Regions from separate parts of the Mus musculus genome. Here regions 1, 2, 3, 4 and 5 are each reported to be linked to region 6. Evidence: microRNA targets listed by miRTarBase, many of them from high-throughput screens and not tested one by one. Region 6 holds a microRNA gene; each other region holds the end of a gene's coding sequence. Distances are from middle to middle.

Region 1 (5,000 bases), 47 Mb from region 6:
ATAAGGACACTAACCGCAGCACAGTTCCTTCTTCATACCCTGCAGGAGGCTGGGCCTCAACCTTGTGGAGCACTGACTGCCCCTCTCCTAATATAACCTGTGTTTACAGCGAGGCTGAGCCTGACAAGGTTGATTGCCAACAAGAATCAAGGTTGACCTGACCATGCTAAAAATATGTTGATTGCCAGTTCTCTAAGAACTGGAGTTCCTTTTTTCTTCCAGAAATGAAAACTTAGGGGAAGAGGAAAGATATTTAAGAGAAATGTGGTAAATATTCTGTTCCCCAGTTAGTAAAATGTTTTTTGCCTTAAAAAACAATACCAAGATCACAGGAGTTAAGTCATGCGTGTGTGTGTGTGTGTGTATATGTGTATGTGTGTGTAATGTGTTGATAGCTCTATCTGGTGGTCTGTTGGGGATTCCCCTTGTCTTAAAGCAGTAAGTTCATAAAGACAAAGGAATGAGACATGCACATTCCATATATAGGAAGAATGATAGGTGCCCAGGTTTCCAGTCCTCCACCCAAGTGTTTCGTGGTTTTGTCTGAAGAACCAACCCTAAGCTAGAACTGAGCTATGACACATGGTCTTGTTTCTCTTTATTATTTTCCCCTTTCTCACCCAAGTACATTTTTACAGGAAAAAGCAAATCCCAGTCACACTACTTCTCCAGGGATTCTCTCAGGGCTTCTGCCCTCGCATGCCCACTAATCTCAGGATCCCTCGCCTGCACCTGCTACTGAAGCCCACTACGCCTGCTGCACCAACACCTAACTGCTCCTTCCTCTCTGTCTCCACCAGAGTCTGAAGGAAGGCCTGACGGTGCAGGAGCGCTTGAAGCTCTTTGAATCCAGGGACTTGAAGAAAGATTAGCTGCATCCATTCCACTGACACATCCTTCCCAGCTGGTGGCAGCACAAGCCAAGCGTGGTTTTCATCTTCACCTGTGCATCTCATTGTTGCTGTCATTAACTGTGGGGATGGATGCATGAGAGACTGCTGTGGGGTGCTTGCTCCAGTCCCTCCCTGTCAATTCCAACTTCCTGTTGTCTTTATCACAGCTTTTTTCCCATGGTATTCTCAGATTAGTCACGCGCAAGCAGTAGAGTGGGACGGTTTCCCCGCTGATACCTGAGCAGCCCCCTTGTCCTCCCAGCACACTCACTGTCAGTATTAAGGCACAGCAGCCTGTTAATAAGCTAGCCCTGCCTCAGAGTGCACATGTGGGGACCTGCCAGTGGCTCTGCTCTGCCGCACACAGCGGAGCACCACCCTTGATGGTCAGAGCAGAGCCACCGAATGTTGTAGGCTGGCCTGATTTCTGAGGGGCCTAGGAAAGTGTCCAGCCTGGCCCACTTCCTTTTGATGTGGGAGGGGGACAGCATTTTGTACCTGGCCACTGATGCAGCTTAGAACCATACCCAGATAATCCGGCAAATCCTTCACAACCTGGAAAATGTTGAAAGCAACCATTCCTATTTTGGTTTTTTATTAAATCTTGCACAAAAGCCCCGGCCCCTCTCATTCCTTCCTCCGCTCGTGCCTCCCTTGCTGTGCTAATCCTGGTCTTCTGGTGGCCCGGAAGAGTGACTTGCAGCCTGAAGCTTCAGACTTGTCAAGTGTGATGGGTCCTCAAAGTCCTCTGGAGGGGAACATTGCTGGGGTTTAATCTGTCTGAAAAGAAGCTGCCATGCTGCTTGGCAGGGTGAGGAGAAGCCCGTGTGCAAAGACAGACTGTCAGGACTGGTGATAGCAGCAGTGTGTGCTCAGGACCCTCGTTAGTCTGGGCTCTGGAAGGGTCCCTTGAATTGTCTGCTTCTCATGGAGCCATTGACAGGGAGCCTGTGCTAACTCTGCTTTTCTAGCTGAACAGGACCTGAAACTACCCAAAGCAGTCTGCAGCATTTTCTTTAAAAAACAAACCAACAAAAACATTTTTCTCTATTCTCATAAGAAAACATTCATACTGTAAGATGCAGCACACAGGAGTCCCCATGTCAGATGGGAGAGGCAATAGCCTCATAGCTAGATATGCGATCTGGCTTCTTAGTCCTGGCTTGTTAGTGTTAAGTGGGTCAGATGGATGGTCTCTGAGCGTACAAATTCAACTCATGAGTCCCCTAAAGGTTCTACATGAGTTGACGTACAAGGTCTAGCTGGCCTAATAGACAGGCAGGTCGAAACTTCAAGATAACGGATTTGTTACATACCAAAGTGTGCCACTGACCAGCAGGCAAGCCCTGGGCTCCCCTTTTCACACGTTTTTAAGTTCCACTCTGGCACATGCTCAGTGGTCATTTATGTTTTCAGCATTATGGGCAAGTCAGACCTGTTAAAACAAGCTTTGAGCTCAGAGTGGGCTAGCCTTCAGGAGCCTGGGGTTGTGCGTTGAGGACTCCTGTTCTCTCATACGGTTTCCTTGCAGCTATCCTGCTGCCCTTGGGACCCTCTGGCCCCATTGCATTATCTTCCTGCCTTGTGCTTCCTGGGATGCTACAAAGAGCCTGCGGAAGATGCCAAGCCTACCATTCAAAAGGACACTTGATCTTTTGCTCTTCACCTCAGAATCCTAGGATATGAACTTTGCTGAAGGTACAAGTACCTACATGTCAGAGGCAAGGGCTGGGAGACAGGCACGCTGCACCCATCTAATCTGTCACTCAGGGCTCCTACTGCAGGCTCGTTTTTGCTGTGATAGAGCACACACTGCTCTAGGGCTTGTTTCACGTGTGGGTATCTGGTATGTTGGCCAAATGCTGAACTGGCAGACATTCCTGGATCATCCCCCACTGTCTACGCCAGTCTGAGCAGTAACATGTGCAGGATCAGGGTGCATCTTGATTTTCTTGATGGTGACTTCTGGCAAAAATGAACCAAACAAGAAGTTGGTCTTCCTGAGTCCCTGAACTGCCGGCCCACTGCAGCAGTTTATTTTAGACTGCCACATGTCTTCTGTCCATTCCCTTCCCTCACTCCCTGAGCCAGGTTCACTTTTGCCTGACCCCTCTACAGGCTTCCCATTCCCTGGAAAGAAGTTGAAGTTGGTGTGTTCAGAGAAGAGGTATGGAATGTGCAAATGGAGTTGGTTCAGGCATATGTAAAAGAGGATGCTTGGCTGAGAATGGGTAGTGTAGATCAAGAAGTCACAGGCTGCTCCCAGTACAGTCAGTCAGTGGCATGCTTTCTTTTACACATTTGTGGTCTACCAGCATCTACAAGCAAACTACCATTACAGGGAACATACCATTTGACAGTGAATGTAAATATATGCTTAAATTACATCTTGCAAGCCTGGCATGGTGGTGCACGCCTTTAATCCCAGCACTCGGGAGGCAGAGGCAGGCAGATTTCTGAGTTCGAGGCCAGCCTGGTCTACAAAGTTAGTTCCAGGACAGCCAGGGCTATACAGAGAAACCCTGTCTCAAAAAAAAAAAACAAAAACAAAAACAAAAAAAAACAAAAAAAAAAAACTTCATCTTTGCACGTGTGATGCCGAGCACATCTGCCACACAGGGCTACTGGCTGCACCTTTTCCAGTATGGTTGTGGCCACAATGCCACAATAATAGGAGGCCAGAGCCCCATGAAGTAGGGAGTCCCCAGAGGGAAGAACGCTAGGAATGTGTGCATTCACTGAGTGTAAACAAAGGTCAGAGTTGGCAAACTCCATTGGATCTAGCAGAACACTGAACTGGGCGCACTCACTCATGTCTGTACTCCTACCACCTGACGCTCCAAAGTACAAGGTCAGTCTGGGCTACATAGCAAGACTATCTCACATACAGGTGGGCTAAGGGCATGGATATAAAATATATAAAATTTGGGGTTCAACTACAGCACTACAGAGAGCACACTTGTGGTCTTTGGAACATTTGTCCAAAGGGAGCCTGAGAGATTTGACTAGGAAACAAATGGGTATGAAAGATATTTGAAGGAATGTGTACTACTGTTAACCTCTCTACAGGGGGAGATGGTGCGCTGACTTCTTTCTACCCTGGAACTGCAGAGAAAGCACCGCCTCACTGCTGCCACCTAGCTGGCGCCGAGGGAAGTAGCTGGCTAGCACACAGCCTGCACTGTTGGGTGTGAACCAGGGCATCAGCTTAGTTAGATTCCTGCAGGCCTGCCCCACACACCTGACCTCCAACTAAGCCTGGCTCTCAAAGACAGGCTGGATAAGCACCCAGAGGCCCTATGCAGCCTTCCCACTCATGCCATACTCCATGTAAGTAAGCCAGTGCAAGCTGCACACCAAAGTCTGCTGGCAGCTACAGGGACAACAGTAACACCCAAACCCCAGACTCTGCTAGTGGAGAGTCAGTAGTTACCTCTTGGCCAGCGGAGGGTTAGCTGTTCATGCTATGCTGTAAAGATGACATCACCTAGTAAGCTACTTAGAGGCTATCAGTGTAGGGACTCATACAGCCTTTCTCATTAGAGCTCCCAGCATACATACAGGACAGCCTATGGCCTGCACTTCACTTGCTCAGCCTTTCCTGTATATCAGAGCAAGCAATATTAAGTATTTCTAAGGCATGGTGCAGGAACTTTTGTGCAAAGTTTGTGTGAGTTTTAAAATACCCCTTTTGAAGGTATGTAAAGGCAGTGTTCAGTGCAAACCCCTCTCAAATGTCAAGACCATTAGTTGGCGAGGCATGGTAGCACACACATTTAATTAGCACTTGGGAGGCAGAGAAGCAGGCTAAGTTCAAGACCAACCTGGTCTACATAGAGAGTTCTAAAAGATTTACACAGTAAAAACTGCCTAAAAATTAAACAACAAAAAAGACTATGTTAATAAGTAATGCCTTTTAAAGTTTTGGTTACTCAACAGACTCTGAAGATATCCTTGCCCACACTCACAGCAAGCTCTGATTCTTGTTTAAAGTATTCTGTGAGACTTGCATAGAGCCACTCAAGGAAAACCAGTACTATGAGGGACTCTTGGCACCTTGCCCTCAGGTTTCTCGGGGTGTTTTTCTTAGGGGAACTGGCTGGAGCA
Region 2 (5,088 bases), not on the chromosome of region 6:
CAGCTTGAGGGGCCTGCAGTGACACATAACTGCATGCTATCTCAGCTTGAGGGGCCTGCAGTGACACATAACTGCATGCTATCTCAGCTTGAGGGGCCTGCAGTGACACATAACTGCATGCTATCTCAGCTTGAGGGGCCTGCAGTGACACATAACTGCGTGCTATCTCAGCTTGAGGGGCCTGCAGTGACACATAACTGCATGCTATCTCAGCTTGAGGGGCCTGCAGTGACACATAACTGCATGCTATCTCAGCTTGAGGGGCCTGCAGTGACACATAACTGCATGCTATCTCAGCTTGACGGGCCTGCAGTGACACATAACTGCATGCTATCTCAGCTTGAGGGGCCTGCAGTGACACATAACTGCATGCTATCTCAGCTTGAGGGGTCTGCAGTGACACATAACTGCATGCTATCTCAGCTTGAGGGGCCTGCAGTGACACATAACTGCATGCTATCTCAGCTTGAGGGGCCTGCAGTGACACATAACTGCATGCTATCTCAGCTTGAGGGGCCTGCAGTGACACATAACTGCATGCTATCTCAGCTTGAGGGGTCTGCAGTGACACATAACTGCATGCTATCTCAGCTTGAGGGGCCTGCAGTGACACATAACTGCATGCTATCTCAGCTTGAGGGGCCTGCAGTGACACATAACTGCATGCTATCTCAGCTTGAGGGGCCTGCAGTGACACATAACTGCATGCTATCTCAGCTTGAGGGGCCTGCAGTGACACATAACTGCATGCTATCTCAGCTTGAGGGGCCTGCAGTGACACATAACTGCATGCTATCTCAGCTTGAGGGGTCTGCAGTGACACATAACTGCATGCTATCTCAGCTTGACGGGCCTGCAGTGACACATAACTGCATGCTATCTCAGCTTGAGGGGCCTGCAGTGACACATAACTGCATGCTATCTCAGCTTGAGGGGTCTGCAGTGACACATAACTGCATGCTATCTCAGCTTGAGGGGCCTGCAGTGACACATAACTGCATGCTATCTCAGCTTGAGGGGCCTGCAGTGACACATAACTGCATGCTATCTCAGCTTGAGGGGCCTGCAGTGACACATAACTGCATGCTATCTCAGCTTGAGGGGCCTGCAGTGACACATAACTGCATGCTATCTCAGCTTGAGGGGCCTGCAGTGACACATAACTGCATGCTATCTCAGCTTGAGGGGTCTGCAGTGACACATAACTGCATGCTATCTCAGCTTGAGGGGTCTGCAGTGACACATAACTGCATGCTATCTCAGCTTGAGGGGTCTGCAGTGACACATAACTGCATGCTATCTCAGCTTGAGGGGCCTGCAGTGACACATAACTGCATGCTATCTCAGCTTGAGGGGTCTGCAGTGACACATAACTGCATGCTATCTCAGCTTGAGGGGTCTGCAGTGACACATAACTGCATGCTATCTCAGCTTGAGGGGTCTGCAGTGACACATAACTGCATGCTATCTCAGCTTGAGGGGCCTGCAGTGACACATAACTGCATGCTATCTCAGCTTGAGGGGCCTGCAGTGACACATAACTGCATGCTATCTCAGCTTGAGGGGCCTGCAGTGACACATAACTGCATGCTATCTCAGCTTGAGGGGCCTGCAGTGACACATAACTGCATGCTATCTCAGCTTGAGGGGCCTGCAGTGACACATAACTGCATGCTATCTCAGCTTGAGGGGCCTGCAGTGACACATAACTGCATGCTATCTCAGCTTGAGGGGCCTGCAGTGACACATAACTGCATGCTATCTCAGCTTGAGGGGTCTGCAGTGACACATAACTGCATGCTATCTCAGCTTGAGGGGCCTGCAGTGACACATAACTGCATGCTATCTCAGCTTGAGGGGCCTGCAGTGACACATAACTGCATGATATCTCAGCTTGAGGGGCCTGCAGTGACACATAACTGCATGCTATCTCAGTTTGAGGGGCCTGCAGTGACACATAACTGCATGCTATCTCAGCTTGAGGGGTCTGCAGTGACACATAACTGCATGCTATCTCAGCTTGAGGGGCCTGCAGTGACACATAACTGCATGCTATCTCAGCTTGAGGGGTCTGCAGTGACACATAACTGCATGCTATCTCAGCTTGACGGGCCTGCAGTGACACATAACTGCATGCTATCTCAGCTTGAGGGGCCTGCAGTGACACATAACTGCATGCTATCTCAGCTTGAGGGGTCTGCAGTGACACATAACTGCATGCTATCTCAGCTTGAGGGGCCTGCAGTGACACATAACTGCATGCTATCTCAGCTTGAGGGGCCTGCAGTGACACATAACTGCATGCTATCTCAGCTTGAGGGGCCTGCAGTGACACATAACTGCATGCTATCTCAGCTTGAGGGGCCTGCAGTGACACATAACTGCATGCTATCTCAGCTTGAGGGGCCTGCAGTGACACATAACTGCATGCTATCTCAGCTTGAGGGGCCTGCAGTGACACATAACTGCATGCTATCTCAGCTTGAGGGGCCTGCAGTGACACATAACTGCATGCTATCTCAGCTTGAGGGGCCTGCAGTGACACATAACTGCATGCTATCTCAGCTTGAGGGGTCTGCAGTGACACATAACTGCATGCTATCTCAGCTTGAGGGGCCTGCAGTGACACATAACTGCATGCTATCTCAGCTTGAGGGGCCTGCAGTGACACATAACTGCATGCTATCTCAGCTTGAGGGGCCTGCAGTGACACATAACTGCATGCTATCTCAGCTTGAGGGGCCTGCAGTGACACATAACTGCATGCTATCTCAGCTTGAGGGGTCTTGATGCCCTTTTCAGGTCTCCACAGGCACCAACACACGTGTTCATAAATTTAAGAAATATTTTTTAAAAGGTCATCTGTGAGGCCAGTAAGATGGCTGAGCTACAAGGTCAAATTGCTTGCCATAAAACTTTGGCAATTAGAATTCAGACTTGTTTTGGGTTTATAATCCCAGCTCCAGATTTCTACAGTGAGATGGGAGGCAGAGACATGAGAACTGGCTAGAAATTCAGAAGCTGACATGTGTGCAAACACTCACACGCGCGCACGCGCACACACACGCGCACACACACACACACACACACATGCACACACACACACACGCACTATGATATGCACACACACAGATAGCTATCCTTAGTTATGGTTAGTAAAGGAGTGTACCTCATTATTTCTCATATTATACAGAAAATTAACACAGTTCAAAATAGGCAGGAAGAATTTAATGCCAGCAATAAGACTAAAAATTTAAAGTTCAACAATTATAATCTTCTAGGTGTAAAACAGAACAAAGAGCCGAAGTACCAGCCGGGCGTGGTGGTGCACGCCTTTGATGCCAGCACTCGGGAGGCAGGGCAAGTGGATTTCTGAGTTCAAGGCCAGCCTGGTCTACAGAGTGAGTTCCAGGACAGCCAGGGCTACACAGAGAAACCCTGTTTTGAAAAAAAAAAAAAAAAAAAAAAGAGCCAAAGTACCATCACACTATTACTGATTGTAAGAGATGGTTTAATTTCTTTGACTCTTTAGGAACATTAAAAACTCATTCTCCTAAAAACACAGTGAGAGAGTTGAAGAGATGGATGGCTCAGTAGTTAAGAGTGCTGGCTGTTCTTCCAGAGGACCTGGGTTTAGTTCACAGCACCCACATGAAGACTTACAACCGTCTGTGACTTCAGCTCCAGGAGATCTGGTGCCTTCTGGACTTCAGACACTGAATGTGCAAAGTACACAGACATACATGCAGGCAAAATACTCACACACATAGCATAAAAATAAAGGTTAAGCTGGTTTTAAATATAATGATAGCAATTTTTTGTTACTATCACTGTATTCATTGTATCTCAGCAATAACCTGAAGTTTTTAAGAGAAAATGAAAATGTTTGCCATCATTTTTACAAATAATGATGGATAAGTTGTCAGCAGTCATACTTAAACTTCAAAGAAAATTCTGGAACTTTTGTGAAATACTTGCCTCAAAAAAAACCTCCAGAGGATATATTTTATGAATATCAGATATTTTTTATAATAATTTACTACAATGTTATGTGTTTTTATAAAATAAATACTATTATACGTATACTCCCAAATCACAACAGCGGTAGTGGATCCAGGATTTAAATACATCTTTGTTTTTCTCGTCAGTTCTTCCGGTAAGAAACAGCTTCTAGTGCGATGGACAAACTCCATCTCTGCCTGGTGCTGTCCTTTGCTCTTCTGCCTCTGCCACAGCAGTGAGGAAGAGTTGTTGAAGAACATCCTTATCTAAATTTCTACCTGAGAATACAACAAAACAGTGATTGTGCTTATTAAAAGAATTGTTCACCTATCAATTCCAAAGTTAAACGCAGGCACTCTACAAAATCAACAGTAACTGCTCGATTCCTTTCACAACTTTCTAGTTAAGCCTTAAACCAAGTTAGTGCTTGAAGTAAGCACTGTTCTAAGTTGTCTTAAAGAGTAAAGTTCTAACAAAATCTTACATTATCCATGATTCAGACAACTAGACAAGCTTCTCAGTTAATCTGGTTAAGTAACACAGTACGTCTCCTTCCAACCCGGCTGTGCACTTTCCTTCAGAAGTTTGTTACCCACCAATGAAGACCAGCTGACACGCTCTCTCCGCATCATCCTTCCAGTTCACTAGGCTTTCTTCCAGGTCGTACAGCTCATGGATGCCTTGCACAATCATTTGCTGTGGTTTGTCTTTGATAGACACCAGTCCCTGTTCAAAGAACAATGATCACTCAGTTCTACCTCAAATTTGCAAGCAGAAATAGTACATCAAATTTGAAAATACTACTTTTCAAAAAACAAACTCATAACAGAGCAATAAAAATATCACTTGATTCAATTATTTGCATATTTTAAATTCCTTAAAACTTTTGTGTATACTGATACCACTCCCCACCCCCTAAAGCAGGTTTTCTCTGTGTAGCAGTGGCTGTCCTGGAACTCACTCTATAGACAAAACTGGACTCAAAACTCAGAAATCTGCCTTCCTTTGCCTCTTAAGTGGTGGGATTAATACCATGCTTGGCTACTTTTTTAAAATAAAGAATTACTTCCTTTTTCTTATTTCTGT
Region 3 (5,088 bases), not on the chromosome of region 6:
CAGGTGCCTGCTGCTAAGCCTGACCCCAGTGAGTTTGATCCCCAACAACCACTTGGTGGGGAAAAAAAACAACTCTTACAAGCCGTACTCCAAGATCCACATATACCTCATAGCTTTACCTCCTGCCCCTACACACAAATAAAATAAAATTATTTTGAGCACATTCAGAGACAGACCAAATGCACCTTGCATTTTGAGATGGCCAAGAAGGCCTAGGGACAGGGCAGGCGACTGTGATGTAAGGGGATGTATGTGCCAGGTTGGTAAGGGATGACCAACCCTGGTCACTGTCACTTTGACTAGATATGGACTCCCTTGGAAGTCTGTGAGAGCATTTCCAGGGAGCTTTAACTGAGGACAGAAGACTCACCCTGAACAGGGGTGGCACCATGCCATGGACCAGAGATCTAGAATGGATTTTAAACAACAAAGTATCTCCCCCATGTGAGCCACAGCTATGAGCCCCTCCCCTCCCCCTACCCCGGGCTTTCACCGTGGTGGACTGGAACTGCAAACCCTAAGCCCAAAGAAACCCTTCCCTGTTTAAACTACTGAGTCAGGTGTTTGGCTCACAGCAACTAAATAACCCTGGAATAGCCAGCTGTCTGCAGTGGGTTTAGTGAGCATAGTCTGTGTGGCATGTTTTCATCCACAGTGCCTACAGGAACAGGGGTCATGCTCTGATGACCAGGGGTCACACTCTGACATTCACACAGCAGCAGAAACTGCTAACATGCTCCTCATACCCTGTGCTCTCCCCAGCCACCAACCCAGAACATAGTTCATAATTTAATCTCCTTCAGGTTGTTTCGATGAACACAAGAATTTTCTTTTGTTTTGTTTTGTTTTGAGACAGGGTCTTGCTATGTAGAACACCCTGGCCTCAAACTCAGAGATCCTCCTGCCTCTACCTCCCAAGGCTGGGACTAAATGCTTGCGTGACCATGCCCCAGACATTGGAATTTTAGGCCAGAAGCTGTGCATCAAAACTTTCCACAGTTTTGATATAATGTCCACAATTCATAGAAAAGTCTTAACAAAAATGTGGCCTTCTTTCCCCTTCAGGGGTTCTCTGCTCAAACTACAGGTCCTTCAATTAAACAGAGATGGTATGGCTGGAGACTCCTAAACTAGCAGTCACCAACACCAAAGTGGGTGGACAAAGGACTGTGGTACACTCAGTGATAGGACAGTTCACAGCCATAGAGAAGAACATGAGAGACTATCATTTGTAGCAAAACAGACAGAACTGAAGGACATCATGTTCAATGAGTAAGTTGGCTGCACAGTGACGAACCTCATTCCCTCTCATACCCTGACTTAAAAGGATATGGAATTGTGAGGACCAGCTTTGGACAGAGACAGAAGGTAGATTTAAAACAAAGACCAAGTTTGCAGCTACTTGCATGCTGAAAATATCTTGTGGGTCTTCATTAATATATTACAATTAGTACATGTTAGTAAAAAAGTATTATTTTTAAAAATCTCAAACAAATTATTGTTCAATACATGTGCATATATTTTTAAATTACAGCTTAAAATAGATCTTTAATTTTATTGTTATTATATTATTACTACTATTGGTATGCATATGAGTGCATGGTGGGGGTGTCATCACCATGGTGCTTACCTTAGTGAATGTGTGGAGTCAGAGAGCAACTCTGAAGTCGGCTCTCTACTTCCACTCTCTGAGTGCCAGGGATTGAACTCAGCCCATCGGGACTGAGTAGCAAGTGCTGTTACCAACTGAGTCAGCTCATTGGCCCATAATTTTTAAAAATATTGATCTTAATTCTGTGTGTGTGTGTGTGTGTGTGTGTGTGTATGTTTGGGCAGGTATCTCCAAAGGCCAAAAGGCCTTTTGTGTGCCATCTGATGTGGGGGCTAAGATGGATCAAACTGCTGAGCCATCTCTCCAGACCTTTGTTGTTGTTGCTGCTGCTGCTGCTGCTGTTGGAGACAGGAATTCTCTGTATAGCCCTGGCTGTCCTGAACTCACTTTGTAGACCAGGCTGGCCTTGATCTCAGAAATCTGCCTGCCTCTGCTTCTGCCACTGCCACTGCCACTGCCACTGCCACTGCCACTGCCTCTCAAGTGCTATGATTAAAGGTGCACACAACCTCTGTTTGCCATAACCAGTAATTTTTTTAAAAAAATAAAATTTGACACTAACATTTTCAGAATTGCTAAAGCATGCATTGGAATCCTTATTTGGGAAGTAACTGAACAAGGTATCTTCAAAGGCCTCATTTTGAAGCTGGAATGTGACTGAGCAGTAAAGCCCCTTCCTGGATTCCCCCAGTAAGGGCTCAGGGTATGGCTTGAGATATAGCACTTGCCTTCAAGTCCTGGTTCTGTATCCAACACAGAAAAACAAGCTGTTTCTACTGCTGCTTTCACTGAGTCTGTCTAGTGTCCCATGGCGTGAAGGGGGCCTCTCACCTCTAAGGTCTGGCTGTAGCAAGGCTCCAGGCACAAGACCGGCTCACTAGATGGCTGTGAGCACTGTGGAGAAAGCCATTTCAAGGCAGAAGGTCTGGCAGCAAAGCAGGTAGATGCTAGCATGTCCTGATGTGTCAGGGAACTGAGTGAGACAGCATCTTAGCTGGGCACAGTGGTTATAGTTGTCCAAGCAGGAAATGGAGGCAGGAGGATAAGACTGTGCCAGCACTTTTGGCTACACATGGAGGCTGGTGTGGGCATCATGAGTGTTCATGTGTGCCTGAGCACCCATGTGGGTACATGTGATGTGTATCTGAAGGCATGAGGTTGAGTCAGGAATAATCATTGACTTCTCTTCTACCTTATTCATTGTGGCAGGGTCTCTTAATCAAACCCAGAGCTCACAGATGTGTCTAGCTAGCTAGCCAGAATGCTCAGGATCCTCTATGACCTTATTAGCTTTAACTGTCAACTTCACATAGCCTAGAGTCACCTGAGAAGCAAGTCTTAATTGAAGGGTTGCCCAGGTCAGACTGGTGTGTGGGCCTGTCCATGGGGCATTGTCTTGACTGCTAGCTGATGGAGGAGGGAGCCCACTGTGAGTGGTAAGTGGTTCTGGGGCTTATGAAAAAGCTTAGCTAATCAGGAGAACGGCAGAAACTACATCCTCTGTGGTTCAGGCTTGTGTCTTGAGTGAGAATGGCTCCCAGAGGCATATATATTTGAGTGTCTGGCCACCGGAGAGGGAACTGTTTAAAAGGATTCTCATGATATATCTTTCAGCTATTCCTGCAGCACCATGCCTGCCATGTGTGCCACCAGGCTCCCTGTCGTGATGACAGTGGACTAAGCCTTTGAAACTATAAACAGTTCTCCCAACCCCATTAACTGCTTTGCCATGGTCATGGTGTCTCTTGACCATCACTAATTGATAATGACGGAGACACTGCTGTATGACCGCGGCTGAGTCCCCTAGTCAGAGGTCATGCTGTGTGCAATAGCCAGCAGGCTTGCCTTCAGTTCCTGCTTGAGTTCGTTCCCTGACTTCCCTAAGTAAAGAACTGGGTGTGTGGCCTGGGGGTGAAAGCCAGATGAACCATTTCCTCCTCTAAGTTGCTTTTGGTCGAGTTTTTCAGTCACAGCAGTGGAAGAAACAAAAATAGCCTGTTCCCTGAGGCTAGGCTTACAGGTTGGTGACAGTGTGTACAATGTTCTTGTATTCTGGGATGCAAGGTGATTTAAGCCCTGAGCCAGCACCAGTCTTTTCTCTCTACATAGCTCTGGCTGTCCTGAAACTTACTATGTAACCTAAGGCTGGCCTCAAACTCACAGGAATCCTCCTGCCTCTGCCTCCTGAGTGCTGGGATTGAAAGCTATGCCACCACCAGATCCTAGGAGGATTTTTTTTACACACCATTTTGAGTCTCACAGCAGGAGCTGCAGACAGACTAACTATGCTGTGTGTTTAACTATGCTCTGTGTGGCTTTGCAGTATGGATTATGGGCTATTACTGGAGGCTCACTGCTATGAAGACAGGACAGCACCCATCACATCCCAGCAGTCTTTCACTCTCCATCACACAACACTTTGACAAGGTCACTCTTGGTCCCTACAATGATTTCAGATCCTCTCACAGCTAGTAACTGGCTCAGGGATAAGAATTGCACCAGTACAACTAAGAGGCAGAGCCAAGCCTTTGAGCCAAGTTCTTAGAGTAAGGTGGGAGATGCAGGCTGCTGCTCACTTGAAGGAAGTAGGCCTTCAGAACCCACAGAAAAAGCTATGAGGAAAAATGGAAGATGGTTGAGGGGAAGGGGGGGTCCACATGGCACCAGCAGAGAGAGTCAGTTGGCTTCAACCAGGTGAGCCATGGCTAAGTCACTGAAGCCCCTGCCTTGGTAGGCTTTCAGAGTATGAGGCAGACCTGTGAGCGTTTATTTGACTTTGATTCCTTTCCCTCTACGGCCACTGGTTCTGCATCCTGGGAGGCTTCTGCTGCAGCCAGCTCTTCCCTCTGCCTGGTCTTTACCAGCCACACTGCCTTCTTGAAGTTCTTGAGAGGGTCTTGCTGGGAGGCTCTGACTGACGGGCACTGGAAGCGCTCACGGATGAGATAGCCGTGGCTTGTGGGGGCCATGAAGCCATTGGAGGTAGGGATGATTCGGTTGATCACAGCATGAACAAACTGGACAGCCAAAAGAGTGCCTGTGACCAGGAAAGGGCAAGCCATGAGAAAATGGGGCCCAGAGATGGAAGGACATTGCAGCTGGTAATGTGCTTGGCCTGCAAACACAGGGCCTGAATTCAATCCCTTAACACGCATGCATGTGGAGGTGCACACTGGCAGTCCCAGCGCTCTGGAGGCAGACATGGATGCTCCCTGGGGCTCCCTGTTTGACCTAATCATTGGGCTCAAAGTCCATCATCTCCAGTACATGATTACCATCCATAGAATATGGGTATACACCCACCCTCATGGAGACCCAGGGAAGAAGGCTGTTCTGTCTCCAAAGGGGTCTACAGACCATGTGAGAAGAGTGCTATGGCAGCAGGCCATCAGGTCCTGCATACACCTCCTAAGCTGAGGGGCCCAGCTAAAGGCAGAAACAGGACCAGTAAGACCCAAGGTGACTCTTTTCCCTTC
Region 4 (5,088 bases), not on the chromosome of region 6:
AGACATGTAAGTGGCCATGGTAGTCAGGACTTGGAGAGAGTGTGGTCACAGGATGTCATTTGGTACAGTGTGATGAGCCGCAGACAGTTTTCGCAGTTTCCTTGAGAACAGACTCCACGTCCACTGTGGAGAGCAGCTGACTACATCATTTCATATCTGCCCTCATAGTCTTCTTTATTTTAGCATTCATTGTGAACTGGTGCTCACTTGGTTTTGATTTACGTTTCTCCACAGCATGGAGCTGTGAAGCATCTTTTTATATGATTCCTCAGTTTGTCTCAGCAGCATTTTTCCTTGCTTGCTCAGAGTCTTTAGTAAAATCTCATTGGCCAGCCATAGCTTTTTTGAGTGGGGAGGCTGTGCTGAACCTGTTTTGTCTGTCTTAAAAGAGGATGTTTATTGGACCCTTACTGCCTTGGAACAATACCTACCCATTGGACAACAATGGGAATCTAGGGTGTAAGAGTGACATTCAGTGTTTTCCATCTCTTCCTACTCCCCAGGAGCTGGAGAAGTGTGATGCCAACCACTATATTATTCTGTTCCGAGATGCGGGCTGCCAGTTCAGGGCACTTTACTGCTACCAACCCGACACTGAAGAAATCTACAAACTCACTGGCACGGGGCCAAAAAGCATCACCAAGAAGATGATTGACAAACTATATAAATACAGCTCAGACCGAAAGCAGTTTAACCTGATCCCAGCCAAGACCATGTCAGTCAGCGTGGATGCACTCACGATCCATAACCACTTGTGGCAGCCCAAGCGGCCCACGGTGCCAAAGAAGACCCAGACTCGTAAGTGACCATGGCAACCAGGACTCTGAGAGGTTGTGCTGACGGGATCCCTATTTATTATTTTCATCTACTTGGTACGAAGTTGATGAGCCATGGACAGTTTTCTACAGCGGTTCCTAGAGAACAGAGAAGATGCTCTCTCCCCTGCACACATGGATGCTGGGCATGACATATGCAGGAGTGAGTCCTGTGCTTTCATGGGCATGGCTGCTGTGGCCCTGCTGACCACTGAGATCCTCAGAATAAGGGACACCATGGAGTGAGATCCTGGCCTGTGGGCCCCTCACTTGAAGTTCTTCAGAATAAGTTAAATGTGATCTGCTCTCTGGCCTCCCTTCACCCCTGTGCACATTGCCTGATGCCCCATGTTGGCCAGCTGTAATCGTGCGTGATTATAGGGCCAAGGCTCATTCGGGTCAGGGTGTTTGAATGTCTTCATAAAAGGAGTTCGTATGGGAAATCTTTTTCATTTTAGAAATTGTATAATATTTATTGACTGTGTCTACTGCCAACCTTTATATCCAGTTCTAAGATTCTGAAAAAAAGAAAAGAAAAAAAAAAACCTGTTCCTTGCTGCTCAGAAAAAGTTTACTGAAAATGTCAGTTCACTAAAAGCACTGAAATCGGTAAAGTTTGTCTTCTGCTAAAATGACGTTTACATATGTGGAGTGAGTATTTCTGCCACACAGTTGGGGGCTGTGGGTACTGCTAGCTGATGCTGGCCTCATTGGAAGCCGGCAGCTAAGCCGGCTTAGCCACCACTGGTTAGGTCTGGGGAATGTGCTGGCATGTTCACTCTGATAAAGGCAGATTTTGGTATAGTAGCGTACTTTCCACCCTTGGCTGCCGGTTCCTTTGTGGTGCTGTGAAGGCCTGGCTTACCTACCACGGTTCTTGCTTCTGGAGGAACAGCGTGCTCAGTGCAGTGTGCAGTCTCAGGTGAGGTGGGTAATTCTGCTTTTTGCCTCTTTTAAAACTTGGTGGTTATTTGCGGTTATTTCAGAATGGTGTAGCTGCTTTGGGTCTCTTCCCCGCTGGCCCCTGTGGCAGCTGCCTGCCTCAGAACAGGCGTTCCTGGGGAGCAGAGGTGCCCCAGCGATGGATCAGCTATGTGAAGACCCTGGAGCCACTTGTAGTTTTGCACATTTCTTTTTGAGAGTGTTACTTGAATCTGTCTTAACTGCAGGAGAGACTTGAAGATCATAGAGGGAACTCAGACATCTTAGTGTTAGCGCTAGCAGTGTCATGTAGACAGAGGAAAGGAGCATGGGACAGAACGCCGGAGGCGTGAGGCGAGGTCTTGTCTTCTCTTCCTTGGTGACTGTGTATCCAGTCAGGGGTGGCGCTGTGCTGTATGAGCATTAAAGTCTGTGGCCACCTGTCACTGGATGCCCTGTGTGTCTTCATTTCTCACTGTGCACTTGATGTTACCATATTTATTTTAAGAGAGCACTAAAATATAATAAAGTAATGAGCTGGCTTTCTGTTAACCATGTGTGTGGTTGTCACAACTCCTTCTGCTGACAGTGTCCCACATCTTCTGGCTTCAGGGCAGCTGCGCATGACTTTTGGGTTACCTAGGAATTTATTTTTCATGAAGAGTTGGAAGACCTGGTGTAGAGCAGGAAGTTGCATTTCTGCTCGACTTTTAATACGGTGACTTGGCATGTGGCCTGTCCTGAAGGCTGTCTCAGAACGCAGGGTCTGCATGTGAAGTACAGTGCCAGTGTCTCAAGGCCGGGCTGTGGAGGCCATGTGGCTTGATGGCTCAGAAGCACTCGTGCCTTCTGTGTTCCATGACACAGAAGTAGTTTTGATTTTTTTTTTAATTAGGAAGTTTCCGGTACAGGATTTTGTGGTGGTGATCTGGAGCCTCCAGGGTGTGGGTACACTGTCTTGACCAACTGTGCTGGGAAGGCTACTCAGCTTTTCGGGCAGAAAGTGCCAAGAAATTGAATACATGACGACTCATGCAGCTCATTCCTTAGTAACAACAGACCCCCCCGAGGAGCCCAGGTCGGTTGGCATTAAAAATATTTCTCAGCCGGGCGGTGGTGGCGCACGCCTTTAATCCAAGCACTTGGGAGGCAGAGACAGGCGGATTTCTGAGTTTGAGGCCAGCCTGATCTACAAAGTGAGTTCCAGGACAGCCAGGACTACACAGAGAAACCCTGTCTCGAAAAAATAAAAAAAAAAAATCTCAGAACTAGATGTGCAGGTCTACATGTCTGTGTCGATGTGGGATGTACCTGTGTGTGCGTATATGAGTATGTGCACACAAACATGTGCATATGGCCTGTGTACACGTGTGTATGCATGCCAAAGATAGCGTTTCCAGTGTGACCTTTTGACCTGGTATTCTCGGTGTGTTCCTGCAATACAATCTCCAATCAGACTTTTAAGGCCCAGACTGCTTCAGGCAACATTGAAAAGTGGCATAATACAAAATTTACTTCTAGATTGTTTGAAACTATGGTTGTTACTTGGAAGAAGAAAGTGTTAAAAGTCCATTTTTCTTGTTGAAAGTTAATCAACTTGAGTAAACCTTTATAGATTGGTGCTGGTTTACCTAGTGAAATGGCTTTGATCTTGGTTACCTGAGCCTATTGGTGATTTCATTCTATCTGTGTCCAGTACCACATGTGTAAAGCCAGTTCTAACTCCTGTTTTGTGACTATGGCCAAGTCACAAGCCCCAACTGGGAACGAGCCATGCCCAGCATCCTCTTGTTTCTCACTGATTCCTTGGCAATAAACTTGTACCTTGCTGACTCAGGGTCTTCCTGGTGTCTGAGGTGCACTCTGGAGGTGCTTTTGGTATCTGGTATCACTGGTGTTCTGAGCTTTGTGTTGCTGTGATAAATGAAAACCATAATAAAAGCCACGACCAAATACAACTTGGGGAAGAAAGGGTTTGTCTGGCTCACAGATTACAATCCACCACTGAGGAAAGCCACGGCAGGCGCTGAGGCAGAGGCAGTGGGGAATGGGTGCAGCCCCCTGGCTTGCTCCCCCCGGCTTGCTCTGCTGCCATTTCACACAGGCTCGACCCTCCTAAACCACACAGACAACGTGATGGAGGCCGCTCCTCAGTGGGTGTTTCTCCCAGGTCTAACTAGGTTTGTGTTGACAAAAGCTGTGTCAGCTCTCAAACCTGTGAGAGGTATTCGGCATCTTCCGGTGCCACCATGCCACCATTGGGAGGCCTGTGCAAGGGTATGGCTGGGGATGTCAGAGCTGTGATGCAAACTTCCCTGACAATACACTTAGGGCATGGATGACAGGTTCCTCCCCTAGCCCTGTCATCCCTCCTCCTATTTGCCAGGTTGTGGCCTGGGAAAGTACAGTCAGTGTCTTTACCATCCAGGGTCTACTTTCCCTAGTTCCCCAAGTGGTAAGGAGAACATAGCAACACCTGCATGGTAAGGAAGAACATGTAGCCCAGGCTGCACCCCGTGAATGGTTCAAGTCAGGGTGTAGTAGTTCTTTGTAGTTAGGGTGGGTGGTACAGACCTTGCAGCAGTATGGTAGCATCTTTACTGAGACCCTCGTCACACTTGTTCTGAAAGCTGGTGCCTGAGCAAAGATCCTGGTTGGTGTCCCTCTGCGCACCACAAGCTTCAGAGGGTGCCTGTCCCCACTCTAACATCTGTGATATCTCAGGTTTGTCTCCTGGCTGGAAAAGGCCCTGTCGTATTTTCTGGCATATAGAGAAAGAAACTCTCCATAGACAGGAGAGTAGTCCCTTGTGTTTGGGAGGGAAGGGTGGTCTCTCATGTTTGACTATGTGGGCTGATGGAAGCCCTGGGTAGCCACTGCTACTAGTTGTAGACACAAAGCTGGGTGGCCTGAGAGAATGGCCCTGTATTTGCTGTTGTGTGGGGATTTAGGACCAGCCAAGCTCCCAGGTCTAGAGCTGAAGACATGGGCTTCTGTGTGTTTAAGTTGAACTGATAGAGCTATTGTTTTGAAAGACAGCTTGGTTTTTGGTCTCTATGCTGGATCTGTAGTTCGAGGTAGATCTTCCTAAACGGGAGTGGGACAGCCAGGCAGTGCTAAGTGAATTCTCACAAGGTGTTTGCTGGGCTCACCTTTATCACGGCCTTATCCACTCACACCAGTCCATTTACCTACCATAGCTGCAGTTTTGAGCTTGTGACAGTTGTCGTGCTGCTATCTCATAGTGACATTTAAGCTGTTTTTGTGTTTGTTTCCTCAACTGTTTGTTTGGTTCACAAGCAGCCAGTTTACTGTTTCTTTTCCCAGGAGAGCAGACCCTGGCAGGAACAGT
Region 5 (5,088 bases), not on the chromosome of region 6:
CACTTCAGCCAAGGGCTACTTACTGGATTTTACTTTCCATTTTGGGTTGCTTCCAGTATGTTTGAAGACAAGTGCCTTACATGTCTTACATAGTCCGGGTAGCCTGGAACCAATGAATCTGCCTCAGCCTCCCGACCGCTGAGATTACAGACGTGACCCCATCAGACAGAACTGCTGTTATTATCTTTTGTTTCATGATTATGTTAAAAACAACCCCCTAAGCCTCCTGGGCAAACAGATATTCAAGTGTCCTGTTTCCTGGCTCTCCCTACCCCTGCCCCCTCCCACCCCTTTCTTGGCAGGTACTTCAGTTATTTGTATGCTATCAGCTGATATACTTCCCAGAGAGGATAGACAAGCATCCTACATGGGATTCTCACAATCACAAGTTCTAGACCCACTGCTCCAAGGGCCCAGGAACGACTCCCTCCTGCTCAGAGCCTAGCACCTAGTGTCTTCCCTGGCCCAAAAAAAGTCCAGAGCAGATCCTCAAGGGCAGGGTTGTTGGTGAGGATGCCATATTCTTGGCATAGAGTGTTGGAGGGAAACTGGCGAACCTCCAAACCTTCACTGTGTGGCCTACATGCTCCTCTAGGGCTGGGGATGGATTCGAGGAAGAATAGGAGTTGGAAGTGGTTCCATGGGAGAGCAGCTGCCCATGGATTGCACTGTGCTTGCCAAGCATTCCTGACCCTCCCTGTCTGTCCCCTGCAGGAATGTGGCCTGCTGCGCAAGGGGACGGTGCTCCTAGCTGACAATGTCATTGTCCCGGGAACCCCTGACTTCCTGGCGTATGTGAGGGGGAGCAGCAGCTTCGAGTGCACACACTACAGCTCATACCTGGAGTACATGAAAGTGGTGGACGGCTTGGAGAAGGCAGTCTACCAGGGTCCAGGCAGCAGCCCCGTGAAGTCCTGACCACTCAGCCTGATGAGCTTCCGTCCCAGCTCCCTTCTGCACGATGACACACACTCACTCTGACCCCCTCTATGCTTCTGGGGCCTTTCCTCAGGGCCTGTGGCTCCAGATTGTCATACACTGGCACATTAAAGGTAGTGAGCTCACCATGCAAACCACTACAATACCCCTGGAAAACACCTGTGCATCAAAGGCTGCATTGAGGCCAGAGATGCAGTAGATCACAGTGCGTGCCTGGCACGCAAAACCCCTCACGGTGAATCCTCTGCACCCAAGAACAAAAAGGGAGATTTAAAAAAAAAAAAAAAGGGGGACTGGTGAGATGGCTCAGTGGGTAAGAGCACCCGACTGCTCTTCTGAAGGTCCAGAGTTCAAATCCCAGCAACCACATGGTGGCTCACAACCATCCGTAACAAGATCTGATGCCCTCTTCTGGTGTGTCTGAAGACAGCTACAGTGTATTTACATATAATAAATAAATAAATCTTTTAAAAAAAAAAAAAAAAAAAAAAAAAAAAAAAAAAAAAAAAAAAAAAAAAAAATCAAAGCAGGTGTCATCCTGATGGCCTCACTAACTGGAAGAGGAGATTTTTTACAAAGTTTCAGTGTGGGATCCCTAGGCACTGCCATCACTCAGCAAGAAGTCAGGAAACTGAACATATCCAGATACCATTCGGCTGTCACCAATGGCAGCAACGACTCAGACGGTACTGTCACCAGCAACTCATACCACATTTCATCTTAAGAATGAGTCACAAACTTTTCAGGTATGATGGCGCATGCCTTTAATCCCAGAATCCAGGAGGCAGAGGCAGATGGATCTGAGTTCTGTGCCAGCCTGGTCTACACAGTGAGTTCCAGGACAGCCAGGGCTACATAGAAATACTTTGAAAAAAAAAGTCATAATCTCTTTTATATTATAAAAGAAATTAAAGATCTAAATATTTGGATATAAGAAATTCACTGAGTTATTCTTTTCAGCTACCACACTGCTCTTACTTGGCGCAGAACAGCCTTTGTACTCATCTCTGACTAAACAGGCATGGGGCCACGCTGTCCCCGATGTCTCTGGGATAAACAGTCTCTCCAGTTCACACCATTGAGGCATGTCTGCCAGGCACCCAGATTCTGAGGAAGTGCCAACCCAAGCTTAAGAGTCACCCTAGCCCCCATCTCTTTCAAGAGGCTCCTCAAGGCCTCAGTAGGGGCCCATTTCCTAGACTAGAAACAAAGGTCAGCTCCATCTTGTCTGCTCCCACATATGCCCATATTGGTCAGCCGGCACACAGGAGCCAGGAGTGACAGCAGTGGGACGTGCCTGAGGCCAGGGGCAGAGCACAACCCCCATACCCCTTCCACCCCCTCCCTGCAATGGGACTTGAGGGAACTGTATCTTCACCAGGGGGCAGTGGTGGCTCAGCTAGCACAGGACTGTGCCCTCTCCTGGTGAGCCAAGGCAGAAGACAGGCAGTTCTTTGCTGCTTTTTTAATCTTTAAATTTTCTTACAAAAATTTCAATTTTTGTTGATAGTCTTATTTTGGTTTCATTTTTAATGCATTTTGTCAGTTTTCTTCATTTTAAAGTCACAAACAGCAGGCACTGAACAGCAGTTCCCCCCACTGCTGCCGGCAGTCAGGCCCCGAGGTTACTTGAGGTTCTAGGCAGATGCAACAGCCAGGGTGGCCCCAGCCACAGGCAGCTTAGGAGGAGTATGCTGCAGAGGGAAGGTGTTCCAGGAATCCAAGGATGGGGGTGCTGGTGACAAGCACAGCTTGCCACTACCCCCAATCTGGCTGCCTCCTAAACTTCCCTGTCTGGACTCTTTTAGAGCAGCCCTCCCTGTGGTCAGCCTACATGCAGTGTAGTACTCCAGCCACCCTTGGGAGCCCAAGTTCTTTTCCAAGGCCCCCTACTTGTCCCATTGCCTGCTCCAGGACCTCCAATCCAGGCTTGTATTTGCTCCTCTGTGGCTGTGCATGGGGACCTCCCCCCAGCCTCCTCTCCTACCACACAGCACCATGTCAGTAAACAGCTAACTCAGACCTGGAGAGTTAGAGCAGAAGAGTAGAGAAGAGGGTAGGGTAAGGTAGGACAAGAGGCTTGGCCACCCTGCCACAGCAGGGTGGGGCTCCTGGCTCCAAGACTGGTTCTGCTCAAGATGGCGGGCCCTCTGGCCCTCTTCCAGCTACCTCGATGCGATCCCTAAGAACAAACAGCTGGGCCAGGGCCCTGCAAAGGAAGGCAAAGACAGATGTTTAGTCGGGAGCCCAGATAGATAAGAGGCAGCAAAGTGTAGCAAGGTGACTTGGGACCTCCATACAGGGAGCTGCCTTGATAGGCCATACAGAAGCAGTAGCTGTGGAGTGAGGGATGGGCCATACCAAGACCCTTGACACCAGAACCAGTCCTGTCTTGCGGGTCCTCACAGGGCCCTGTGCTGGGGGTATTTGAGGAAATAGGGGGCCTGTTTCCCCAGGACCCTGATCTCCAGAGACCGGAACAGGGCTGTTGTCAAGTCCTGCCAGAGATCACATAGGGAGCTCAGTCATGCAGCAAGCAGAGATGAACACGGAGCCCTAGTCCAAGGATGGGCAAACCAGAGGAAGGAACGTACCAGGCATGCAAGCTAGACCCAGGAGTCAACAGGCTGAGGCTTAGTGTCCCCCACGGCGTCCACCAGCCTGACCGAGGGCCTGCTGGGCCCAGGCGGAGGGGCCTTCCTGCCAGGATCGGGCTGCAGTGCATGGTGGGTGGGCAGACAGGAGTTAGAAGCAGAAAATAAAAGCAGGTTAACTGCAACTAAGGGTAGGCTAGACTGGTTCAGGCTGATTGATGTATATAAGGAAGGGGTGGCATGGAGGGCCTGCCAAGGCAGTACAAGGAAGCCAAGCTCTGGGGTTGGTTATGGCTCACACATGAATGTACCCAGAGGCTGGTACGTGAAGCCAGGATACTGGCACACAGGTGGTAGATGCTGCCTTTTCCAGGGGACCACAGTAGACACCTTGCCCATACACATGTAAGAGAAAGGTACAAATCCGTTTGCTCGGACTCTCTGGACCTACGCAGCCTGTGGCCAGGCAGAGCTGCCCCTGTCTGCTTCTTTGCGGCAGGTGCGTGCACCAGACCCCCTCAGTGCTGAAGTCTGATTGATGATGGATATATAGGCTACTTCCTGGGCCCTGCAAGTGAGTGCCACTCCAGCCGTGTCCTCCAATTCTGATCAGGCTCAACACTATCTGGCTGTTCTCTTGACAAGCCTCCCTGGACACTTGCTTGCTGTTACTCACTCTCAATAGTTCTTTCTCAGAGGTGTCCCCTGTGGAGTCACTGCCCAGTGTCCTCCTCTCCCTCCGGTCAACTGTGGCGTAACCATCTGTAGGGTGGAACAGAGCATGGAATAAATGGAGTTCTGGGGAAGTCACCATGGGGATAGGTGATCTTCCTTCAGTCCAAATACAGAAAGCCCTGGGATGGGGGACTTCTGGTCTAAGTGCCAGCTCCAACCAGTCCTGAGGCCTCTAAATCAACCACCTATCTTTTCTCCAATTGACATCTTATCATAGCAAGGCCTCGGCATCGCCCAGGGTTACACCATGAAACCGGGTGGTCCTCCCCAGTCCTCTTGCCTGCACACCTGCACTCACCTGGACCAAGGGTATCCATGGGGATCACATCCCGGGTGTTTGACTTCTCCCCATCTGCAAGGCATGAGCAGGTGTCCATGAGCAGTGTGCAGGCATGGGGAGGGCAGGACAGACATGCTGACATGCTCGCCACAGAACAGTGCTCAGTGTCTTCTGTCAGGAGTCTGTCCTATCTCCTTAACCCCACCTACCTTGTGCATTAGCAGGTGGGAGCTACCCTTAAGCCTCAGGGTAAGTCTCATGTCCCTCTCCCCTGCTTGTGCTCACCAAGGCTCTTGTCTACCAGTGGCAGTGTGCTGTCATCAAAGCCGCCAGAACTTGGTGTCCCTTTGGGTCCTTTGGCAGTGCTAGCAGACTGAGGAGTCACAAAACACAAGCAAGAGTTAAGGCCTAAGAAACTGCTTGGGATCAGACGTGACAAAGTAAGAGAGAAGGCGGGGCAGCTGTACCTGGAAGCGTGACTTCGTCCAGCCATCCCTCTGCAGGGCTCCACGCAGCTCCTTGTAGCTCCATACAGTCTGT
Region 6 (5,088 bases):
TGGAGTAGCTCAGACTGGATCTGGGAAAACATTATCTGTAAGTCTAGGAAAACTTGATAAATTGTGGCAGAGGTGACCTTAGATATATAACTATTTTAATCCAATTTCTATTATTTTTACTCTTCAATAGTATTTGCTGCCTGCCATTGTACACATAAACCACCAGCCATTCCTAGAGAGAGGTGATGGGCCTATTGTAAGTATTATCTTAAGTTTCCCACCATATTTGCTAAAACTCCTTTGACTTTCATATAGGGAATATAGGGTTGCCAGTATAAACTAGCCACTTAAAATTAGTATCCAGCCCAGGCGTGGTGGCACACACCTTTAATCACAGCACTGGGGAGGCAGAGGCAGGTGGATTTCTGAGTTCCAGGACAGCCAGAGCTACACAAAGAAACCCTATCTCGGGGGGAAAAAATTAGTATCCAAAGACAGTTAGTTGGATCAGCCAATTATAGATACTTGTCATGAGCCTGATCAAGATCAACTACCACAAGGAGAGACCAACTTGCAAAAGTTGCCTTCTGGTTTCTCCATGTGCTTCCACACACAAAAATTTTATCCTGAGAATAGTGCCTGGGAGGTAGAAACTGGAGAATTCAGGAGACACTGTCTCAAAAAAAAGTCTTATGACCACCTGAATTCTAATTCCCAACACACGAAGACATAGGGTCTTAGTAAACTGTTTTATACTAAACACTTTTTTTTGTTTTTCAAACTTAGTGCTTGGTGCTGGCACCAACTCGAGAACTGGCACAGCAGGTGCAGCAAGTGGCTGCTGAATATTGTCGAGCTTGTCGCTTGAAGTCTACTTGCATCTATGGTGGTGCTCCCAAAGGACCACAGATTCGTGATTTGGAAAGAGGTGTGTGACCATAAAGGGGGATCTTTGTCACTGATGGAGATGATGGTTTTGTGTATTATAGTTAAAGCATCTACTCCTTTTTATTTATTTAATTAAAGGTGTGGAAATCTGTATTGCAACACCTGGAAGACTGATTGACTTTTTAGAGTGTGGGAAAACCAATCTGAGAAGAACAACTTACCTTGTCCTTGATGAAGCTGATAGGATGCTTGATATGGGATTTGAACCCCAGATAAGGAAAATTGTGGATCAAATAAGAGTAAGTATCTTTATGTTATCATAAAAATCAGTTCTAGGAATGCTCTTAAGATTGAAGTGTAACTTGCTTCCTTAAATCTTCAGCCTGATAGGCAAACACTAATGTGGAGTGCAACTTGGCCAAAAGAAGTAAGACAGCTTGCTGAAGATTTCCTGAAAGACTATATTCATATCAATATTGGTGCACTGGAACTGAGTGCAAACCATAACATTCTTCAGATTGTGGATGTATGTCATGATGTCGAAAAGGATGAAAAGTGAGTTTACATTTTTACAAATTGAGAAAAATCTTACATAAACTAAGAGTAATCAATTCTGAAAATTGTCTCAAAATAAAATTAAGGTAGTGTGCTATATGTTCTTTTAAAAGTCCATTTGTTGGTGATATGGCTTGGTGTGATATGAAGAACTTGCTTGGCTTGCATGAGGAAAACACTCATAGTTTTTGAACCTAGTCACTACACAAGCACGCATAAAGTGATACACCTGAAAATCTGTATGTGTGGTGGCTTAGTGGGTTTGACATTTGGATTCACTAAGCAAAAAATCAGGGTTGTGTTTGGTTTTGTTTTTATATCCTTTTAAAAATGGTGAGTTTTTCTTCATCTTTAGGCTTATTCGTCTGATGGAAGAAATCATGAGTGAGAAGGAGAATAAAACTATTGTTTTTGTTGAAACCAAAAGAAGATGTGATGAACTTACCAGAAAAATGAGGAGAGATGGGTATGTGGTTTCCTGAGTCAAAGCAGACTTAAAAGTACTTTGATCTGGGGCTAGTGTTTTTTGGGAATCATGCGCTGTGATATAGGGGTAATTGTATGGATTCGTTCCAGTGACTTGTAGTAGGCTCTGGGTTGCAATGCTTAGTGGGAAAACACTTGGCCAAGATGAAGTACAGTGGGAATAGATATTGGTAGAGTCTTGACAAGAGTTTTAAGTTGGGTATACTACTGATAATTTAATTCTTGGTATAGGTGGCCTGCCATGGGCATCCATGGTGACAAGAGTCAGCAGGAACGTGACTGGGTTCTAAATGGTATGTATTTCAAATAAGATTAGTTTGTAGCTTGATAACATCATTTGCTTGCATTAATGATTATTCATGGTTGTCTTTATAGAATTCAAACATGGAAAAGCTCCTATTCTGATTGCTACCGATGTGGCCTCCAGAGGGCTAGGTTAGTACAAACTCGAATTCATGGCTTGGTTTCCCAGAAGATCTCCATGTAGTTTTTTTTAAAGAAAGTTTATTGCTTTCTTTAACCTGCATTTTTTCTAAGTTTTTTTCACATAAAGGTGCAGTCTTTGTGGCAAGGCCTAGGCATGACAATCGGAGGACTCGAGGGGGATGGAGGACTAGTGATCGGCTGGCTGCTTCCAGTCGATTAGAGAGGTGAAAAGCTGAAAGTGTGCCAGTAATCTTCAAAGGGCAGAACATACCACCTCTGCCCCATAAACTGTTCTCTCCGGGGGAAAAAAATGGAAGTTACCTCACAGTTCACTGCCGTGGTATTTCATCTGTCCCATGCTTTGCATGATTGCCATGGTACAGCATTGTTTCAAACTGTTCACTGTGATCTGTGGGTCTTTGAGTTTCAGTGAGTTTGCTGAAATGTCGAAGAAATATTTCCAAACTTCAATGTTCAATGAAATTTTTGTTCAAGTTTGAAATGGAGAGAGCAGCTTTAAAAGCCTTTTACAAATTGGTGAGTACTGGCACATGAGACCTAGAGCAGGACCAACTTCTCACACATAGTCAGTGGGAAAAGAAAGTGCCTTGAAAGTTCCTCCCTCACCTACACAGTAGTCGTCATGTCGAGACCTGCCAGAGAGAGACACATTCTCAAGTGAATCCTGGCTTCTTGGAAGCGCTTGCCTAGACGAGACACAGTGCATTAAAACAACTTTTGGGGGACAGGTATGTTTTTCTTGCAGCTGCAGTTGTAAGGTCTTGGCAAGACAAGCAGTGTGGCCAGAGTTTTGAACTTCTGATGAGTGTAATGCAAAGGACCTTTACATTTTTGTTAAAAGGTCCTCAAAAATGAGCACATGAAGAGATTGCTGAGAAACTTTTAATTGGCCCTACTGCGCAGAAGCATTCAGATGTCACTTGATGATCTGTAAGGGGACTGTCAATTTGGGAATGTGCTAAGGAGAACACACATTCCCTTGATAGGCTGTCAGTGGGTGGGTGTTAAGACAGCTGACATGTGCAAATTTTTTTGTTGTTTTTTGGGTGTTTTGGTTTTTTTTTTTTCCTACCCTGCCCTTTTTTCCTACCTCAATGGTGTTCCTACAGGAAATGGATAACCATTTTAACTGTATTTTTTTCAGCCCGTACCTTCTTGGGAATACAATTGTCTAACTTTTTATTTTTGGTCTGGCTGTTGTGGTGTGCAAAACTCCGTACATTGCTATTTTGCCACACTGCAACACCTTACAGATGTGGAAGATGTGAAATTTGTCATCAATTATGACTACCCTAACTCCTCAGAGGATTATATTCATCGAATTGGAAGAACTGCTCGCAGTACCAAAACAGGCACAGCATACACTTTCTTTACACCTAATAACATAAAGCAAGTGAGCGACCTTATCTCTGTGCTTCGGGAAGCTAATCAAGCAATTAATCCCAAGTTGCTTCAGTTGGTCGAAGACAGAGGTTCAGGTAAGGATCTTCGTAAGAGATGTTTCTGGTAGGTGGCAGTTACCTCTTGTCTACAAAGTGGGATCGGAAGAATGAGTACTTCTTATTTTGAAACCTAAAGAATCTAAAAGCACTTAAGACCCAACATAAATAGAGCTATCTAACTCTCTCCTATCTTACCACACTTATGCCACAGATAAAAATTGATCAATTTCCACTTACTTTCTTGACAGGTCGTTCCAGGGGTAGAGGAGGCATGAAGGACGATCGTCGTGACAGATACTCTGCAGGCAAAAGGGGTGGATTTAATACCTTTAGAGACAGGGAAAACTATGACAGAGGCTACTCTAATCTGCTTAAGAGAGATTTTGGGGCTAAAACTCAGAATGGTGTTTACAGTGCTGCAAATTACACCAATGGGAGCTTTGGAAGTAATTTTGTATCTGCTGGCATACAGACCAGTTTTAGGACTGGTAATCCAACAGGGACTTACCAGAACGGTTATGATAGCACTCAGCAATATGGAAGTAATGTTGCAAATATGCACAATGGTATGAACCAACAGGCATATGCATATCCTGCTACCGCAGCTGCTGCGCCTATGATTGGCTATCCCATGCCAACAGGGTATTCTCAATAAGACTTTAGAAGTATATGTAAATGTCTGTTTTTCATAATTGCTCTTTATATTGTGTGTTATCAGACAAGATAGTTATTTAAGAAACATGGGAAATGCAGAAATGACTGCAGTGCAGCAGTAATTATGGTGCACTTTTTTCGCTATTTAAGTTGGATATTTCTCTACATTCCTGAAACAATTTTTAGGTTTTTTTTGTACTAGAAAATGCAGGCAGTGTTTTCACAAAAGTAACTGTACAGTGATTTCAAATACAATAAATGAAGGCAATGCATGGCCTTCCAATAAAAGATATTTGAAGACTGAATTAAGTGAAATTGTACTTTATTTTACATATATAATGTCATGTACAACTTGGCTTAGATAGTGTTTTTGGGGGGGATTTTTGTTTTGGTGTTTATTTTTACACAAGGAAAGTTGACTACTTCCCATTCCTGGATTTAGGAGAGGAACTCAGAAGGCCCTTAGGATGATCTGTTTGTATGGGAAGAAGTTAGAGACAATGGATTTTATAATTCCAGATTTATTGGATAAAAGCTTTGTCATTTTTCAGTATCAGGGAAGTAAGTCATTTAATAGCCTATTTTCCTTAAGAGTGAACTACAGGACAGTAACTATATAAATACATGTTGATTTCTTTTGCAAAACAGTTTTAAGTAATGACATTTTTGCTTTATC

Evidence for each region. The annotated mature microRNA mmu-miR-3064-5p reads UCUGGCUGUUGUGGUGUGCAAA and lies in region 6 at 3,506-3,527, shown strand. An mRNA with a match to its seed (bases 2 to 7 or 8) in the 3' UTR can be bound and repressed. Matches are read on the target gene's strand: a 7mer-m8 pairs with bases 2 to 8, a 7mer-A1 pairs with bases 2 to 7 and ends in A, and an 8mer does both.
Region 1: the mRNA of Mprip is a reported target of mmu-miR-3064-5p. Seed matches in the 3' UTR shown: 7mer-m8 at 3,392-3,398.
Region 2: the mRNA of Cbwd1 is a reported target of mmu-miR-3064-5p. Seed matches in the 3' UTR shown: 7mer-m8 at 3,607-3,613.
Region 3: the mRNA of Nwd1 is a reported target of mmu-miR-3064-5p. Seed matches in the 3' UTR shown: 8mer at 3,723-3,730, 8mer at 2,452-2,459 and 7mer-m8 at 1,981-1,987.
Region 4: the mRNA of Camsap1 is a reported target of mmu-miR-3064-5p. Seed matches in the 3' UTR shown: 7mer-m8 at 2,946-2,952.
Region 5: the mRNA of Comt is a reported target of mmu-miR-3064-5p. Seed matches in the 3' UTR shown: 7mer-m8 at 1,782-1,788.

Annotation. Positions count from the first base shown.
Region 1 is chr11:59,774,716-59,779,715 of GRCm38, forward strand. Mprip (myosin phosphatase Rho interacting protein) reads left to right here. Exons shown (of 24, transcript NM_001368931.1): 24 at 801-5,000. The coding sequence ends at 872. Among named protein-coding and RNA genes, the nearest start is that of Gm51899, 8.0 kb to the left of the region's middle.
Region 2 is chr19:24,916,423-24,921,510 of GRCm38, forward strand. It overlaps Cbwd1 (COBW domain containing 1), which reads right to left. Exons shown (of 15, transcript NM_146097.3): 14 at 4,599-4,728; 15 at 3,494-4,280. The coding sequence ends at 4,171. Among named protein-coding and RNA genes, the nearest start is that of Foxd4, 18 kb to the left of the region's middle.
Region 3 is chr8:72,711,154-72,716,241 of GRCm38, reverse strand. Nwd1 (NACHT and WD repeat domain containing 1) reads right to left here. Exons shown (of 19, transcript NM_176940.5): 19 at 1,496-4,649. The coding sequence ends at 4,351. Among named protein-coding and RNA genes, the nearest start is that of Sin3b, 9.6 kb to the left of the region's middle.
Region 4 is chr2:25,925,444-25,930,531 of GRCm38, reverse strand. It overlaps Camsap1 (calmodulin regulated spectrin-associated protein 1), which reads left to right. Exons shown (of 18, transcript NM_001372499.1): 18 at 504-3,694. The coding sequence ends at 806. Among named protein-coding and RNA genes, the nearest start is that of Kcnt1, 50 kb to the right of the region's middle.
Region 5 is chr16:18,403,667-18,408,754 of GRCm38, reverse strand. Comt (catechol-O-methyltransferase) reads left to right here. Exons shown (of 6, transcript NM_001111062.1): 6 at 715-1,873. The coding sequence ends at 918. It overlaps Arvcf (armadillo repeat gene deleted in velocardiofacial syndrome), which reads right to left. Exons shown (of 18, transcript NM_001272029.1): 13 at 5,016-5,088; 14 at 4,834-4,921; 15 at 4,567-4,620; 16 at 4,210-4,295; 17 at 3,534-3,653; 18 at 1,679-3,148. The coding sequence ends at 3,546. Among named protein-coding and RNA genes, the nearest start is that of Gm15764, 7.4 kb to the left of the region's middle.
Region 6 is chr11:106,781,175-106,786,262 of GRCm38, reverse strand. It overlaps Mir3064 (microRNA 3064), which reads left to right and starts at 3,504; the gene lies at 3,504-3,570. Ddx5 (DEAD box helicase 5) reads left to right here. Exons shown (of 13, transcript NM_007840.3): 4 at 1-37; 5 at 131-196; 6 at 727-868; 7 at 967-1,127; 8 at 1,211-1,383; 9 at 1,739-1,849; 10 at 2,101-2,162; 11 at 2,245-2,304; 12 at 3,570-3,794; 13 at 4,007-5,088. The coding sequence ends at 4,413.